Sus scrofa: one gene and its partners. The protein of the gene in region 2 interacts with the protein of the main gene of each other region in a pairwise test. Links are inferred from orthologs where the notes say so. Each region holds a gene or a part of one and is shown on either strand. Other genes may lie near its edges.

The links. The genes of interacting proteins can lie anywhere in the genome.
Region 1: the proteins of KIF9 (region 2) and ZBTB8A interact in binary tests that used the Homo sapiens proteins (3 or more experiments, as listed by UniProt). The two-hybrid records come from large-scale screens. The link is inferred for Sus scrofa from reciprocal best matches to the Homo sapiens genes KIF9 and ZBTB8A.
Region 3: the proteins of KIF9 (region 2) and PRMT6 interact in a two-hybrid assay, tested with the Homo sapiens proteins (2 studies listed by BioGRID and IntAct). The link is inferred for Sus scrofa from reciprocal best matches to the Homo sapiens genes KIF9 and PRMT6.

What each region holds. Positions count from the first base shown.
Region 1 is NC_010448.4:88,919,476-88,925,548, reverse strand, and holds the start of ZBTB8A (zinc finger and BTB domain-containing protein 8A), read right to left. Parts: upstream 3,304-6,073; 5' UTR 2,344-3,303; intron 1-2,343. UniProt on the Homo sapiens protein: May be involved in transcriptional regulation.
Region 2 is NC_010455.5:30,058,811-30,064,694, reverse strand, and holds the start of KIF9 (kinesin-like protein KIF9), read left to right. Parts: upstream 1-1,823; 5' UTR 1,824-1,861; coding exon of another isoform or gene 1,862-1,959; intron 1,960-2,955; exon of another isoform or gene 2,956-2,958; 5' UTR 2,959-3,014; coding exon 3,015-3,201; intron 3,202-5,884. Other genes in the region: KLHL18 (kelch-like protein 18), read right to left, coding at 1,358-1,486. UniProt on the Homo sapiens protein: Essential for normal male fertility and for progressive motility of spermatozoa.
Region 3 is NC_010446.5:112,707,003-112,713,023, forward strand, and holds the start of PRMT6 (protein arginine N-methyltransferase 6), read right to left. Parts: upstream 3,304-6,021; 5' UTR 1-3,303. UniProt on the Homo sapiens protein: Arginine methyltransferase that can catalyze the formation of both omega-N monomethylarginine (MMA) and asymmetrical dimethylarginine (aDMA), with a strong preference for the formation of aDMA.

The DNA.
Region 1 (6,073 bases), on a different chromosome or scaffold from region 2:
CTGGGAACTGAGATCCCACATCAAGCTGCAGGCTGGGGCCAAAGAAAAGAAAAAAAAAAAAAAAAAGGGTCCAAAGGAGGACAAAGAGTCAGTCAGGCATCTGGGGGAAGGGTGTTCCAGGCAGATGTAACAGCAAGTGCAAAGGCTCTGAGGTGAAGCAGGCAAAGAAGACTGGAGGAACATTAAGGAGGGCTGGGGCAGGTAGGACATCATGGGACCAGTTTCTACAAGGCCTTACAGACTATTTAGGGGCCTCCGACTTTTGGTCTGAGTAAAATGGGGAGCCACTGAAGATGGGGAGCCACTGACCAATTCTGAGCAAAGAGGTGACAAAGACTTCCCTCAAGGGGATGAAAAAACTTGCACCAAATCTTTTAAATCTGATAAACATGTAGTTAGGTCACTGAAAGGGTTGAACCTATTAGACAGAAATTCCATTTGATCTAGAAAATAAGATTTAAATGATATAGGAGGAAACAAGTATTGCCCTATCTTACAAAGTTTTTCCTGGGCTCAAATCACTATCAACAGCAAAGCTGGTAATTTCAAGGCCCTGAGAAAAGGTCTAGCAGAGTGCCTTCTTTACCGGGTCGGAAATTTACATGATGTGGAAAAGGTCAAGACGATGCCTCCTACTAACATTTTAGAGCCATGTCCGTTTAGCCAAGACCGGCAGGTTGGATCCTCACTTCCCATTAACATCTTGTGTGGTCAGGGGGCTCCTGGGAATAAAGACATCTGATCTCTGGTTATAGCAAAGGGCTCTTGCTCCAGGGGCCTCACAAACCCAGCCATACCCAGGGCTTGGGGAAGGTTACAGAAAGGAAGATTGAGCTGGGGTTCTTCTGCTGAGGATTTTAGATTTGCTTCTGATACAAATCAGTTAACGTTTTCAGAGCAGGGAAGCAATATGAGTTGCTTACTGGAAAGCTCTGGAGGTGACTTTAGGAGGAAATGAAGAGCTAGAGCAGGAGGCAAGGGCATTGGAAGGCTGCCACCTCTCACCTCCTGGCTTAAAGCTTAAATGCTTAATGTGTTTCCTCATCTAGAAAGTGAAATAATCCTCAGCCTGACTGGGTAGTTGTTTTATGTGATATAATTCATATAGGCGAAAGCACTCCATTTACTAAAGTTCTGCAAATAAAAACATTTATCAAGAATAGAAGTAAAACTGATGTGTGGAGTTTAAAAGCCCAATAGGTGAGAATCTGCGGCTTCCAAACACTCATTGGACTAAAACTAACACAATGTTACTTGTCTACCATATCTCAATTTAAAAGGAAAAAAAGGGGAGAAAAAAAAAAACAAAAAAACCACGCCTTTTAAAGATGTGGAGACTGGCTGGCTACTGGCACAATCAACAATAAATAAGCGCATGCGATGGAGAAGGGGCCAAACCACTAATTAACTTACAAGAGAGGCCGTCTGCATAGGTAGAAGGTGCGTACGTGTGGGTTCGGCATAAAATAATAATTATAGCTCAATATTTGTTAGGTATAGTAAGTCTGCCTTGGCTTCTCAGCCCGGATCTGTCACATCACCATATAAAACCAAAGGATGGAGGATGTACGCAGAAACTCGGACTACTGCCCAGCCAGCCACCTACCCGAGGAAGCGCCCGGAGCTGCAGGAGAGAAGCCCCGGACCTTGGCCACCCCACCCGGCGGGCCACCCATCACCCGCCGCGCAGCCCGAGCCCGGCTGGCTGCCGACCCTCCGGGAGTCCGCGCCGCCCGACGGCTCCAGACACGCCCGGCACGGTCCCCGCGCCGCCTTCCCGCCGCCGCCGCCAGGAGGCTCCGCGCGCCTTCCCGCCTTTCCCCGCGCCGCGGCCGGGCCAGGCCGGGCGGCCAGGCGGGCGCGGCGCTGGGCGGGCGCGGGCGGCGACGGCGCTGCCATTGTCCCGCAACCCCTCCCGGGCGCGCAGGCGGGCCGGGCCGGGCGGTTGGATGGGCGCCGGAGAGGCGGCCGCGCAGTCCGGGGACCGGTGCGCCCCGCCGCCGCCCGCCTCTCCCCCGCTGGCCGCCGCCCGGAGGCCGGGTCCTGGGCGCCGGCTGCCCGCGCCTCCTTTGTGACCGTCTCCAGCCCCTCGGAGCCGGCGCGCCACCGCCGCTGTGCCCGGGGCTGCAAATGGCGCCCGCTCGCCTCTGCGCCTCCCGCCGCTCTCTGGACCGGGAACGTCTGGGGGCGCCGCGCCGGGGCCGCATCCCGCTGTCGCCGCCGCCGCTGCCGCCCGGGGACCAGAGCCCGCGGCGCCTTCGCCCGCAGCTAGGCTCGTGGGCCCGTCCCGGGCAGCCCCGACGCCCCGCCCGCCCTTCGCCCGCGTCGCGCGCAGCCACTTACCGCGGGCCGCGGCGCACCGGCGGGGCGCGCGCGCGGGCTGGGGGAAGATTCCCGGTTCCCGGCAGGGGAAATACCCCCTTTTGAAGCCGTTCCTTTGCGCCCTAAAACAAGTAGCCCCAACGTGAGAGAAACAAAAGGTATTTGCTGACGTGGGCGTTGGACAGAAACGCCCGAGGGCTGGGGACACAATTAAAGGGGCAACGCACAGATTTCAGGCACCAACCAGCAGCTTCGCCCACTCCCCCTGCCCTTGCCTACACCCTGCTGCACCCTCCGGAGGCAATGGAGTGCCCAGATCCCCTAGCACTTGACTACAGAATCATTATTTAGTAAGGAGCTTAAATTTTAAATTGTACTTTACGTTGGGAAAGGCGCCTCCGGGAGGGCAGAAGGGCTGGATTTCTAGGATCTGGGGAATTTGGTTTAGGAAAGAGGGAGGGACTTAGGCGTGCCCACAATTACTGTATAAGTGCATGTGACATTATTGTACTTAAGTTTAGCAACGTCAAATGGAAGAGATCTGCACAGAATTTTTCCCTTTTTGAAGAACTCGTTTTAGTCAAGGGTAATCTTTTCTAAACCTCTGCAAGTCACAAGAATTTTCTTTGAAGAGGATAACCCAAGAAGCTGAGATAAGAAAAAATAATCCTTGGTCAAGTTCAGAGAAAATATAAAACTAGTAAGAATAGGAGGTTTTGTGTTGTCAAATACTAACATTGATGATACATCCCTAATGTTTAGAGTACACACGTCAGGTTCTATATCTGCTAACATCATAAATCACTGAATATTCATAGTTAGCAGGCAAACATTAATTCTACAAACTACGTTTTCCAGTTCCTTCTGCTGGGGTCAGGCATTGAATAATACTGTGATATAGCAAAACCGAAAAAAAGACTCAAAATTTTAAAACATTTAGTTTTTGTTGGATTTCTCTCTTTTGTCACACTCAGTCATACTGAACAGAATTTATTACTGTGGTTTCATCAATAGTTAGCTATGTGATTTGAGGATCATAGTCTCTACTAGAAGGATACAAAATATTCACAACTATCTCTTAATGTCACTTCTGTATTACTTGAGTTATTTTGCTATTTAGTTGCACCTTCTCACATTCTGAACAGGTAATTGAAAACATGTTTGAAAACCTGCTAGGTATCAGGAGATTTGGATGTACCCAAACTATTCTGCTAGCATCCCCATTGAGAATTCTCCCCCAAAGACCTGGGCATTGTTATCACAAAGGGTTTTATTTTAGCCTTAATTAATTAAAACATGCAAAAAAGTTCTACAAACTTGTTCCTCAAGAGAGCACATCCTTTGTTGCAAGGAAAAAGTAATGGAAGTTTTTTCCCTCAACTTCCCCCTCCTAGCTTCTGAAACTCAATTTATATGTTTGGCGAACTTCTTATGTTATGAATAATTGGTGGGAGATAGAATCTGCCTTCTGCAGCAGAATCTGGAAATGCCAGTGACTTGCTTTCCCAGAATCCCTTGTGGCTAAGGCAATGGTCATGGGCTACACTTTAATAATCAGAGGCACTTACTGGGGACTTTGATGAGGGAGCTATACCACCAAGAAGCAGGAACCTCTAAGAATCTTTTCTGGCAGTGGTGACTGTTGCAGCAAGATAGTGTCTCCAGGTGCCATAGAGGCAGTGCTGTTAGTGGCAGTATCCGCTGTCCAGCACTAGGGTTATCTGTGGTGCCAGCTGCCAGGTCTCTGCTGAGAGCAGTGTTGGTATCCTTACCAGGCCAGTTCTATGGTATGACTTGCTGTTGTTTCTACCTGGTTAGCATAGGCACCAAACCCTATGCTTTGCTCTTCCCATAATTCTGTAAACTTTTAATACATTCATTTCTGTTTAAATCAGCCAAGGCAAATGAGTCTGTGTCACTAAGAACCCTAGATAGTACAAAATGTTAAAAGGCATTTGGACATATGGCCTGGAACATAATAGATAAAATTATTTGAGGTAAAGTGTTGTCATCAATGTAGCTAGGAATTAAAACCATGGATATAGATAGAGAAAGAGAATATAAAATAAGAAAAGAATAAAGCATAGAACAAGCATCACCAGCTTCATCATCTAGTGGCTTCCTAGAGGAAAGTAAAATTGCAAGAATCTAAGAAGTGACTGGGATAGAAGGAAGAGATGTGGGATAGTGCGGTGTTATGGAAACTAGGAGGGGGGGAGTTTCCATTGTGGCTCAGCAGAAACAAACCCAACTAGTATCCATGAGGATGCAGGTTCGATCCCTGGCCTCGCTCAGTGGGTTAAGGATCCAGTGTTGCCATGAGCTGTGGTATAGGTTGCAGACGCGGCTCGGATCCTGTGTTGTTGTGGCTCTGGCGTAGGCCAGCGGCTACAGCTCCTATTGGACCCCTAGCCTGGGAACTTCCATATGCCGAGGGAGCGGCCCAAGAAATGGCAAAAAGAAAAAAAAAAGAAAGAAAGAAAATGTCTATTGGATTTAACAACTTGGAAATCATTGACTTCAGAGAACATTATTACGCTTGAAAGAAGGGAGCAAAATCCAGATTAGGGGACTACATAGGGATAAAGAAATAGAGGTGGTGAGAATACACAACCCTTGAGAGATCTGGTGGGGAAGGGTGATAGTCTAGTTACCATTGCTGTGTAATAAATCAACCTGAACTTTGTGGCATAAATCAAAGACTATTGGAATTCCCTTGTGGCACAGAGGGTTAAGGATCCAGCGTTGTCACTATTGGAATTCCCTTGTGGCACAGAGGGTTAAGGATCCAGCGTTGGGTTGCTGCTGTGGGGTGGGTTTGACCCCCGGCCTGGGAACTTTCACATACTATGGGTGTGGCCAAAAATAAATAAGTAAATAATAAAAAAAGAGTATTTTATTATGCTTATGGAGTCCATGGCTCAAGAATTTTTTTTTTTTTTTGTCTTTTTGCTATTTCTTTGGGCCGCTCCCGCAGCATATGGAGGTTCCCAGGCTAGGGGTTGAATCGGAGCTGTAGCCACCAGCCTACGCCAGAGCCACAGCAACATGGGATCCAAGCCGCATCTGCGACCTACACCACAGCTCACGGCAAAGCCGGATCGTTAACCCACTGAGCAAGGGCAGGGACGGAACCCGCAGCCTCATGGTTCCTAGTCGGATTCGTTAACCACTGCACCATGACGGGAACTCCTCAAGAATTTGACATGTCACCGCAAGGGTGGCTTGTCTCTCTGCTCCACAATGTCTGGAGTCTCAGCTGGGACGGCTCATACCACTGGGGGTGACTTGAGCTGCTGGGAACTGGAATCATCTGGAGGTTTCTTCCCTCACAGATCCAGCACCAAGGCCAGGATTACTTGAAAATTAGGCTCAGCTGTGACTGTCATCTGGCGTCCTACACATGGCCTCTCCATGTGACTTGGGCTTCTCGCTGCATGGTGGCTGGATTCTGAAAGAGTGTCCCCAAGAGAGCATACCAAGAGGGAATAATCCAAGAGAAATAGGAAGGAACTGCATGGTCATTGATAACCATCTCCAGAAGTTGCATTGTCTCGCTTGCCATATTCTATTGGTTAAACTAATCACAAGCCTACTAAGATTCAGGCAGAAGGGAATATAGCTGTTTTCTCTTAATAGAATGGCAGGGAATTTGAGGTCATGTTTTAAAGCTGCTACAGGCAAAGAATGAGGGTGTTAGCTAGAAGGAGACATAAGTAAAAGACTTTTGAAAATGTGTAATGATGATGGA
Region 2 (5,884 bases):
GAAAAGCCACCCCCCCAAAAAAAAGTCTAGCAGCCTTGATTCACCACTACCATGTCATCACCATGGACAAAAATCTCTCATTTACATTTACTTCCTCTGCCTCCTTTCGTCCAGCTCATTCTTCTCAAATCCCTTGGTTCCCCACCAAAGATGCTTTCCCCTCTCCATCTATTTCATTCCTCTCCTGGAATACTAATCTTAGGATGGGTTTAGGGATGAAAACCTTAGGCCAGGCATTTTGCAAAGAATACCACAAATTTCCTCATTTAATCCTCATACAAATACTAAGATTTAGGAATTATCCCTATTTTTCCATGTGGAAAACTGATGTTAAATAACTTGCCCAAGGTTACAACTAGCATTTTAATCCAAACCCTTCTATTTCAAAAGCCGCACTCTTAACCATTGTACTCTATTGTCTCCAGAGTCTGACTCAAATATGTGGGAAAAAAGTTTCCTTAACTTTGTAGACAATAAGAAGAAAAAAGATCTCTGAATAACTTTGTTTTTTAAACAGGGTCTTCGCAGATGCTGACAGCCTTCTAGCCAAAGCTCAAAAGGGAACATCACCTGCAGCAGAATCTCTCCACCTGGAGGGCTCCTCAGGGCTCAGCAGCTTGGCCAAGGAGCAGCACAGCAAGCATCTCCAGCAAGAATGGATGCAAGGCACAGGAGGAAGGCTGGATCTTGGGCACAGAGTGCCAATAGGGAACAGGTGATTAAGAGATCCCCGTCCCCATGAAGCCCATCAGTTCATTCTGAGACCTTCGTGGTGGTGGTGGTGGTAGTGTGCCTTTTAGTGCGGAACAGAGTAGCTGCCCACCTCAAAAGATTCCCAGATCCGATTTTAAAAGCTTTTAAGAGACAAGGTAGTCACCTAACAATCAAGGGCAAGCAATGACTCCTATGAAAAAGCCTACACATCTACGACAGCGCAGCTAACTTCGAGGGGGCACCAAGAAACGTCTATGGTGGTAAGAAAAGTGCTCCCGTGATGCCTACTAGAATGTAGAGACGGCCACGGCCCCCTCCTCCATAGAGGAGCTGCAAATCCATTTTCCCTTGGTCTGTGTGACAGAAAAGGGAGGCGGCACCCCAATGTCTTCACTCCGAGGGCCTCAGCGACGCACCTCTCGAGCCCTTTCCTTCTAAGGAGTAAGAGGCGTCCCTGTCCGTCGCCCCGCTTAGCCCCAGTCCCCCTCTAGAATTCGGCAATTCTCTCTCCCCTACTCGCTCTCCCTCCAACCTCCTTTCCCCACCCCTCAGCGTGCTAGACCTCTCCTCCCCTATTCCTCGCCTCTCTTCCCTCCCCATTTGGTCCCTTGGCCCCGACTGTCGAACCGCCTGGCCCTGGTACCTTGAGCGTCACGTCGCACAGCTTGCCCTGCCGTCGAATCTCCTCCATGACGCCGTAGCCGCGACTAGGCAACTCGGACACAGAGAAGTGCACCAGGTCCTCCAGCTCCTCAGCGCCGTCCTCCACCATCTTCCTCTGCCGCCGCGACTGCGCAGGCCCAGCCTGCCGCCCCGAAACTAAGCAGGGCGGGGCGAGAGAGCGTGCGGCCGGCAGCTCGGAGCTCCGGGCTGGAGTAGGAAGGGCCTGCGCGGCCGCCGTAGTCTCAGACTACTTTGTGCCGGAAGCCCAACCGCCCCGCTTCCTAGTTCTTGCGCATCCTTTGTTTCCTCGTTACCGCGACCCTCGCTTCGCGCCTGCAGCTGCCGCAGTCTTTCTTGATTAATCCGTCCCATCTCCCGTCCTTCTTACTCAGCCCTGACCTTACTCATATCTCAACAGAGGACAGAGAACTTCATTTCCGCCACTACCCCGTGCTTCCTGAATCGCCGGAAGCGGCAGGTTGCCATGGCGACTGTGTACACAGCCTGGCAGAGGCTCAAGCCGGGATTCCTTCGCTGCTCCTGCTGCGGTCGTGCTGTGGGAGGGCTCCTACCGCCGAAGAGGTAATCAGGCATCATGCTTCGCCGGGGTTGGGAGGAGGGAAGCCGGAAAGCAGGTGTTGGCTCTGGCGGCGGGCAGTCGCTGGAATTTGAACAGCGCTCCACCTGGGAATTCTCCACTTTGGCTCAGTAACCTGTGAAACCTGGGCGGAGGAGGGCGAAGCGTCGCGGGGACCCTTTTAGCCTGGCTGCCGCTAAGGGTGTTCGAATCTAACGTTCCCTGGCCCCACGAGGGCCCTGCGTCGCGTCTGAGGTTTAGAGACCTCTAGTCTTCTGGACCCTTATGTGTTCGTAGAATTTCTAGTTGGAGTGGGCTTTGGGATTGCCAGTCCCAGCTGTTCGCTTTACAGATGTAGAAACCTCTCCAGAGAGGGATAGAGATGGTCTCCAAACCCACTGCCGAATGCCACACAAGGGTCCAGCATGTTGGGTCAGGAAAAGGAGAAAGGCTAGTTCTACTTGAGTTCCAGTCTTTTGTTTAGTCCAAGGCTAGGTGCGTTTGGGCTCTGGGAGGCTCTGATGCTGCTGCCTCTCTAGTGGCTCTGAGAGTTCTGATGGCCGCTCAGAGGTTCACTTTTTTTTTTTTTAATGGCCGCACCCATGGCATTCGGAAATTCCTGGGCCAGGGTTTGAATCTAAGTCACAGCTTCGACCTGCAGATCCTTTAACCCACTGCCCCAGACTGGGTATCAAACCCGCACTTTAGCAGGGACCTGAGCTACTGCAGTCGAATTCTTAAGCTACTGTGCCACAGCAGGACCTCCATAGGTTCACTTATTTACACCAGAAATAACTAAATGTGGTGTCCTTGAGGAAGAAGCATTTCCTACAAGGTCCTGGGGGAGAATGACCCTACTAAAAGGGAAAAGTGTTGAGGGGCTGGAGTTGGCTTCTTGCAGGTGGTGCCTGGAAACCCATTGTCTGCCTGGAAGTGTTGTGATGTTAGGGGTGGAGGCAGTATGGGAAAGGAGTGACATTATTTGCTCTTTGGGACTCTCTCAGTAGTGACCGAAGATGGACCCACATATGGAAATTCAGCCATCCTCTGACTTCCAGCCATGACCATCACCACCAATCACCATTTCTTAAGCACCTGCTCTGTGCTGAGCACTGTTCTGAACTTTGAGGGGGGATTCAAAAGAGATAGAAGGCACAGTCCTGTCCCTCAAGCAGCTTGTAATTTAATCTGGGAGCTGAAACCCACTCAAATGATGCGGCGTAAGAACGGTAACAAGCATTATTTCAGTAAGTGCACAATGGCATGGGGTCCTCAAATGTCTGGGTGTTGAGGGGCTGCTAGATAGCAGACTCACAGGAAGGAGCCAGTTAATAGAGAAAGCTGGTCTCAAGTGGATATGGGTCCTGGTGTGCCTGGAGCCATGGGTGTAAGCATGGGAAGTGCCTTGGGAAGCATAGATATGATGACTGCATGTGCATGTGGGCAAACTGCTGGGCAGAAAAGGGGCAGGCTCTGAGGGGAGGGAAATGCTTGGAGGTGGCTTCATGCTGCCCTTGGGCTGTCATTGGGGAGTGGTTTCCAGGAGGGGGGCTTGGGCATCTGCCCCCAGAGCTGTCCTGTTTCTTCATGGTCCCTTGCAGAGGGCACCTTGGACAGTATCTTAACTTCCTTGGGCTGGAGGATGGTTCTCCAGACGGGTATGGAGAATGCTTCCCAGAGCTTTAGATTTCGAAGGTCATTGTTTGCTTGAGTCAACACACCTCCCTCCACTCTCCACTTCCCAATAGCCTAGATCAAAGTGAACTTGGAAATGAGATATTCTCTTTAGTTTCCTCAATTTGGGAGTCATGTTAGAGCTATTTGTGGCTTTTCATTTCAAGAGCTCAATTTTGCAAACGAAGATTTTGGAACTGAAATTGGACAAGCTGTTATCCTTAGGTACCTTTTAGATTCATTTTCTAAGAATTAAAAGATCTGAAAGATCTCACAGTGACCAGGAAAAGACTTCCATGAAGTAATTAGTTGAGGAATGTTGGAAGTGACACATGCTCTACAGTAGGCAAATGTGAAAATAACGTTTGCTTATTTGAAGTGACAGTTGAAGGGTTTGTAATAGGGTTAGAATTTTTTATTTTGTCTGCTTCATTAAAACTGTAAACTGAAAGGGCAGGACCTATTTAACTTGCTTCTGTAGAGATATTTAATGCCACTTGATATAGTTAAGATAATGGTAAGAGGAAATCAAGTGTTCACCACATTTGACTGTGTTGTGTCTGAAATGTGAAGGGATATTAATACTTTAAAAATCTGGAATCGGGAGTTCCCATCGTGGCGCAGTGGTTAACGAATCCGACTAGGAACCACAAGGTTGCGGGTTCAGTCCCTGACCTTGCTCAGTGGGTTAAGGATCCGGCGTTGCCGTGAGCTGTGGTGTAGGTTGCAGACGCGGCTCGGATCCCGCGTTGCTGTGGCTCTGGCGCAGGCTGGTGGCTACAGCTCCGATTCGACCCCTAGCCTGGGAACCTCCATATGCCGCGGGAGCGGCCCAAGAAATAGCAACAACAACAACAACAACAACAAAAAAAAGACAAAAAGACAAAAAAAAAAAAAAATCTGGAATCGTTTCTATCAGGTAACACTCACTTAACCTCTCTCAGATAATACATATAAAATGTTAATAGTCTTTATTTAATATATGCTCCCCCCACCCTTTGGCCACCACACACAGCATGTGAAGTTTCCAAGATCTACTCTGTAGTGGCAACCTATACCAAAGCTCATGGCAACACCAGATCCTTAACCCACTGAGCAAGGCCAAGGATCCAGCCTGCGTCCTCATGGATACTAGTTGGATTCTTAACCTTCTGAGCCACAATGGGAACTCCCCTAATATATGCTTTTTTAAAAGTAAAATAATTCTAGTTAAAAGAAGAAATCTCTGTTGAACAGGACTTTTTTTTTAACAGTCAAGTTCTTGAAAATTACCTTTTTAAAAATATTGAACAGCTCATCAGTTCATTTGTAAGCATGCATTGCAATTGTGTAAGCAAGTTATTTTTTGCTCAATAACCATGTTGATATCCCTTTTTCCAGTTTGGAGGGGAAACTGAGTCGGCTCCATATGCCTCATATTTCCCTAATTTTACATAAATTCAGCAGCTCCTATGCTGGTTGTCTTTTTCAAATGTGTCCAGGAGTTTCCTTTAGCCTCAACTCCTCTATCCTGCCTCATGACAATAAAGGTTATTTTAGGGGCAGAAGCCTCATTTCTTAATGAACTGGGCCATCCCAGCCAGGAACATCAAAAGAGAACTGGATGATGCAGCACACATCCTGACCCTTGGGCCTCATCTCTGTTCAAAGCTAGTTTTGTACATTCTGGAAATTAACTCAGTTATTAGCATTCTTTATATTCTTGGTCTCATAAAAGTGAAATTATTGAAATCTGAGAGCCCAGTTTTAGGATTATATAACCACAAACTATTTGATGCTCTTGTTGAAATTATTTTTTAGAAGGAAAAAAGAGGGAAAAATATTAGAATGATCTTAGAAAAATGTATATGTAAAATTAGAAACGTTTCAATCTTGGAACAATTTAAAATTGCATTACATTAAGATGCCCATTAGTGTTGAAGTAAGTTATTTGGTATATATTCACAGGCCTTCATCTTGCTTTCTAGTATTACTTAACTAGATTTAACACAGTTATTGATGATAACAGATTTTTAGCTTTCCTTAGAACTCTTGACATTTTCTCTCAATACTTAATCCTTTGTGATTGGTATATAATAGGCACCTAAAAAGCTAATTAAGTTTTAAGTTCCTCTTAGAGCAATAAAAATCAGTGCATTTATTATGTCTATTTAATAATCCTCCTTGCTTCTCCACTCTATCACTGTCTGAACCGAATTTACTCTGTAATAGTATTAAATATGTTTACACAGACATTCTCAGGAAAGGGTGTAGTAT
Region 3 (6,021 bases), on a different chromosome or scaffold from region 2:
ACTTTAATATTGAGATTTTAGCACATTGTGCTAGAATCTGAACCATTTCCATATTCCAGATTGGCAGGCTTGAATACACACAGGATAACATATGTGTTTTGCATGACTGGAAGAACCATGGTTAGTTTTTGCATCACACACATTCATGCACTTATCCAACCATTCATTCATTCAACAAACATTCTGGACTTCTACTCTACACTAAGTATTTGAGAAACAGAGGATCAGTCAATAAACAAAGACAAAAATCCTTACTCCAAGGAGCTTATACTTTTGTGTTAATGTTATAGTATCTATTTTTCTTTCTTTCTTACTTAAGCAAATAGTAGAATACAAATATGTATAAGCAAATATGTATTAAAATTGTATAATATGGAGTTCCTGCTGTGGCACAGCTGGTTAAGGATCCAGCATTACCACAACTATGGTTTAGGTCACGGCTGTGGCTTGGATTAGATCCCTGGCCTGGGAACTTCCATATGGCATGGGTGCTACATTATTATGCCACTTTTTTTTTTTTTTCTTTTTAATGGCCGCACCCAGGCCATATGGAACTTCCAGGTGAGGGGTCGAATTGGAGCTGTGTAGGCCTGCACCACAGCCACAGCAACTAGGGATCCAAGCCGCATCTGCGACCTACACTGCAGCTCATGGCAACATTGGATGTTTAACCCAATGAGCAAGGCCAGGGATCGAACCTGCATCCTCATGGATCCTGGTCGGTTTTGTTACCACTGAGCTGTCATAGGAACTCCAATAATACCACTTTTAACTCTCAACTTTCTTTCCTGTATTATTTTATCTTGGATTCTATGTGATTTCTTCCCACAGATACTTATTTCTAATATCTTTTCCTCTTTAATTTGGAGGTCTGTTGTTTAAAAATGTATTTTAAAGCCCAGTATAAGAATTGAAGGTAGTTCCTTTAGGATTTCAAGAATTAATTACAATTCTCAGAGTGTGTGTTGGGAAGGGCACAGGAGCAATGACATGAAAAATGTTATAAATATCTCTCTGTTATGACTGATCATTAAATGATGTAGTTCTTCCCATGCCACAGTTACCTGGAAGCTGCTAGCATAGAAAGAGGAACTTCTGTCAAAATAAAAAAAGAAAGAAAAAAGTCCTTTATAGAAAATGAAGACAAAAGGTGGTGATTTTTACATTTAAACAAGTTGGAACATCAAACGTAAAAAGTCTATGTTTCTTGATGTGTATAGTGTCTTTTAGATCCATGGTGTATTGGTCCAGCTATGAAACTTAATACTAGAACAGATGAATAGCACATTCGGGGCTCCCTGATGATATTATTATGAGTAGTTGTAATTCTTTTAAAAAATGTGTGTATTAAATTGTTTAGGTAGTGACAACAGGGATATTATGAACTTAATCCATAATTAGCAGTTCACTTTAAATTTATTGAGCCCTCTTAGTGTATCGAATATGGCCTTTTAACAATTTCAAGTGTAAATATTGGTTTATGGCATTCTAACAATTTCGGCTATGAATCAGCCCACTCTTGAAATTACTACAGAGAAACAGGAATGTAAATTATCATATGAGAAAAGTAATGTATTAGTGCATCTCTGGAAATAAGCATTTGCTCACCTGCCCCAGGAGTAATAAGTATCAGACACTTTAACGAAAATCAGGCGTTAAGGTTAATGAACATTATTTAGTAAGATCTTCCTCTCTCTTTTTCTTTTACAAATTCCTCTAATATGAAAGGAAGCCAACCATTTGCTTCAACCAGATGCTTATGTTCTCATGTTATTTTGCTACTCAGGACATGCAAAGTGCATAGAAGTAGCATAGTCATGGGAGGCCTGGGATGCTCCAAGCAGGGTTTCTAGACCAAAAGTGCTGGCGTCACCTCGGATGTTGTTAGAGTCACACAATTGTGGACCTCACTCTGTAACTACTGAATTAGAATTTCTGGAGTTCCCGTTGTGGCTCAGTGGGTTAAGAACCCAACATAGTGAGGATATGGGTTCCATCCCTGGCCTAGCTCAGTGGGTTACTCATCTTGTATTGCCATAAGCATAGGTCGCAGATGCGGCTTGGATCTGGTGTTACCAAGCACAGCCTCTGTAGCTCCAATTTTACCCTAGCCCGGAAATTTCCATATGCCATAGGTGCGACTGTAAAAAATTTAAGTAAATAAATAAATAAAAGAATCTCTAAGGTTGGGGTTCCGCAGTCTTTGTTCTAACAGTCCTTTAGTTGATTTCAAGGAACACTGAAATTTGAGAACCACTGCACTAGACGATCTGAAGACTAACAGGGCCCGTGTGAGGCCATGCAAAAATTATGGAATGCAAGGTCTATTATTTTTTTCTATTGCCGTAGAACAAGTCACTACAAATCTATCAGCTTAAAAAGCAACCTTATTATTAATTTTTTTTTCAAAGCCCCACTTGTGGCATGTGGAGATTCCCAGGCTAGGGGTTGAATCTGAGCTGTAGCTGCCAGCCTATGCCACAACCATAGCAACACCAGATCCAAGCCTCATCTGTGACCTACACCACAGCTCATGGCAACACCAGGTCCTTAACCCACTGAGTGAGGTCAGGGATGGAACCTGTGTCCTCATGGATGCTAATCATATTCCTTTCCCCTGAGTCATGATGGGACTTTTTTTTTTTTTGGTACATCTCATAGTGTCTGTGGGTCAGGAGTTCAGGCACTGCTTCACTGGGTCCTCTGCCAGGCTGCAATCACAGTGTCAGCCTGGCTACATTCCTTTCTGGATCTTCCAAGCATGTGATTGCAGTTCCTTGCAGTTGTAGGAGTGAGGTTTCCCTCCTTTCCTGATGGTCACTTGGAGCTATTTCAGATCCGCGAGGCTGCTGGCAGTTCCTTGCCACATGGTTGTTTCCCACGCTCTCTGAAGACATACAGCTTACTTCTTCAAGGCCAAAAGAAGAAGCTTTCTTATCTTAGGGAGGGTCCTATTCCAAATAATATCCTTACCTCCCCCGGATAATCTCTGTTTTGACTGATTCAAAATCAACTGACTTGGGATTTCAATTACATCTGTAAAATAATGCTTTCAGCTGAAGAATATAGCTCTCTGAATAAAGAGACCAAGGGTTTATTCCCACTGAAGCTTGATAAATATTGCGAAATAAAAAAAATCTTCAAATAGTCTATGTCTTGGGAACTCTGAGCATGGCTTATGGCATGAGGAGATGACCAGAACAATAAGATCAGAAACAAAGTTTTGAGCAATCTGTATACTCTTATCTGAGCCAAAGATCTTAATATAGCACAGCTTGCCGTAATCACCCTTGAGTTTCTGAACTCTGCCATGTGAAAAAAGAAAAAAAAAAAATACCCCACATAGTGGCCAGTTTTTTAGTCTGGGTCTAAGAAGAGAAGACTTCTGGAATGAAACCAAGCTAAGCTAAGCCTAAATAAACCCAGTAGACCATAGATTTCATGGAATGGAAGCAAGAAACAAAAACCTTTTGTTGTTGTGAGCCAGTGAGATGCTGGTGTTACTTGTTATTTTATAGCAGAAACAAGGCTGACTAATACAAATATACATACAGAATGAATGATCATTATAAAACCACTACCTGGCTCAAGACATTAAAACATTACCCGGTCTGTGATTGTCCCTGTGTCCCTCCAAACCTGCACTTGTCCTCTTTCCCAAAGCAAGTATCCTAATAAACCATTCAACATTCAGTGCCATAAAACATTCAACATTCAGTGACCTAGTTTTTGAATGTCATATTCACCTAAATCATACAGTATATGCTCCCTTGGGTCTAATTTCTTTTGCTCACCATTATGGTTATGAGATTCGCCCATGTGATCATGTGTAGCAGCATTTCTTTTATTTTCCTTGACTTTTTTTATAGTATTCCATTGCATGAATATACCATAATTTGTTTAACCAGGTTTCTGTTGTTGTACAGGTCCTTTGAGGTAGAAATAATCATTCCTACCAGGAATTTCATAGTTTGGTTTTTGGTAGTTATTTCGATTCATTATTTTCTACTTCATATCAATAATTTATCTTTATTATCATATTACATATTAAATGCCTTCATAGTAGCTAAGCCATTTATGTTTACCATGTATGAGGCATTGCCTAAAATTTTTTTCTTTTTTTTTGGTCTCTTTTGTCTTTTTAGAGCCGCACCCATGGCACATGGAGGTTCCCAGGCTAGGGGTCCAATTGGAGCTGTTGCAGCCGGCCTACTGCCAGAGCCACAGCAACGTGGGATCTGGGCGGTGTAGTCTGCGACCTACACCACAGCGTACTGGATCCTTAACCTGCTGCTCAAGGCCAGGGATGGAACCCAAATCCTCATGGATGCTAGTCAGGTTCTCTAACCAGTGAGCCACAATGGGAACTCCAATTGTCTAGATGTTTTGTATGCATTGTTCATTCCTTGAGCAAATACTTACCAAACACCTAATCAAAAAGTATAGGTGTGGAGTTCCATAGTTCCCTCTATGGCACAGTGGGTTAAGGATCCAGTGATGTCTTTGTGGCAGCTGGGGTCACTGCTGAGGCATGAGTTTGATATTGGCTCCATGCAGTGGGTTAAGGATCCAGCATTGCTGCTGCCATGGCAAAAGTTGCAGCTGCAGCTCAGGTTTGATTCCTGGCCTGTGAACTTTCATATACCACAGGTTCAGCCATTAAGAAAATAAATAAATAAATAAATAAATAAGTGTAAGAGTAAACAAGACAGACAAAAATCCCTGATTTTGTGGAATTTATATTTTAAGGAATAATCTCTAATTTTCAAAATATATGAGGTGGATATTGGTATCCCAGTATTTGTTGCCTTGGGGTAGATTCTCCCCCACGCCCAGGGAATACTCCCAGCCCATCTCTTCATGCCTGACAGGGCTGCCTCCCCTGGCCAACATGTATGCTATGCATAACTAGGTCAAATTCCTAAAGCTGCAGCCCCATTAACATCTAAGGATCAGGGCACAGGTGCAACTGTTAGAAGGAGAAGACCTTCCCATACAAGTCTATTAAAAACCTGTCTTTTTGTCCTTAGGCTTCTGCTGCTCCTCTGTTGTCTGGTTACAGGATGGACACTTCATGGAAATACTTTTTTACAACAGGAGCACTTATATGCCCAACAAAGGAATTAATCCAATTTTGGGATATTGTGGGAAGCTGCCCTCTCTAGCTCATCAGGATTGTGGCGGTGGGTATCACCACTCCAGGGAGGGAATTGGAAGGCCCTGAAGCAGTACATTAAGGTAGAACAAGCTAGGACTAGTACTCTTAATTCATCTGGCCTTACCAATACTTGATCCAGAGACCTGGCCTGTTGCATGAGTATCAGTAACACTGCAGGGGTACTCTTTTTCTATCACTCAAACCACACAAGTAGCCCATCAAACTGCTGACCAAAAGCATCCTAAAAATACCACCACTAGAACCATGAATGGCTACACTCAGATTTGGGGTGGGTTCATATAACTCGCCCTGAGTTAGGGATGTTTGAACACCCAGCACTCCTGTGTTGGAGACAGACAAATCACTCTAAATAGAACCAACCCAGCTGAACCAGGAATATGGGGTGGATATCACCAGAGCTGTGTAATCATTGCGTCACATGAAAGGATAGTGACGGGCACAACCAGATGTTTATTGAGTAGCCCGAATGGAACCTGGTGGTTGTGTTGCCCAAATCTTTGGCCACGGCTTCCACCTGGGTGGTTGGGCTATTGTGCTTTATCTAGGTCTTCCCTGGGCGTGGGGGAGAATCTACCCCAAGGCAACAAATACAGTCAACCTCCCTCTCCTCAAGGCCAGAGGGGCACATTCTATTTTCTACCTGCACGGTCATGTGCTGCCATCTCTGTTCCCTTCCTTTGCCTGGAGGACGTTACGGCACACGTAGGCGCCCTTGCTGAACTCACTCAGCAAGCCTTAAATGATAGCTGGCCAAGTCTGTCTTTACTGAACATTGGAACATCTCTAATGAGAAATGCTATCCTCCAAAACTGGATGGCCTGGACGTAATTAAGTCTTGAAAA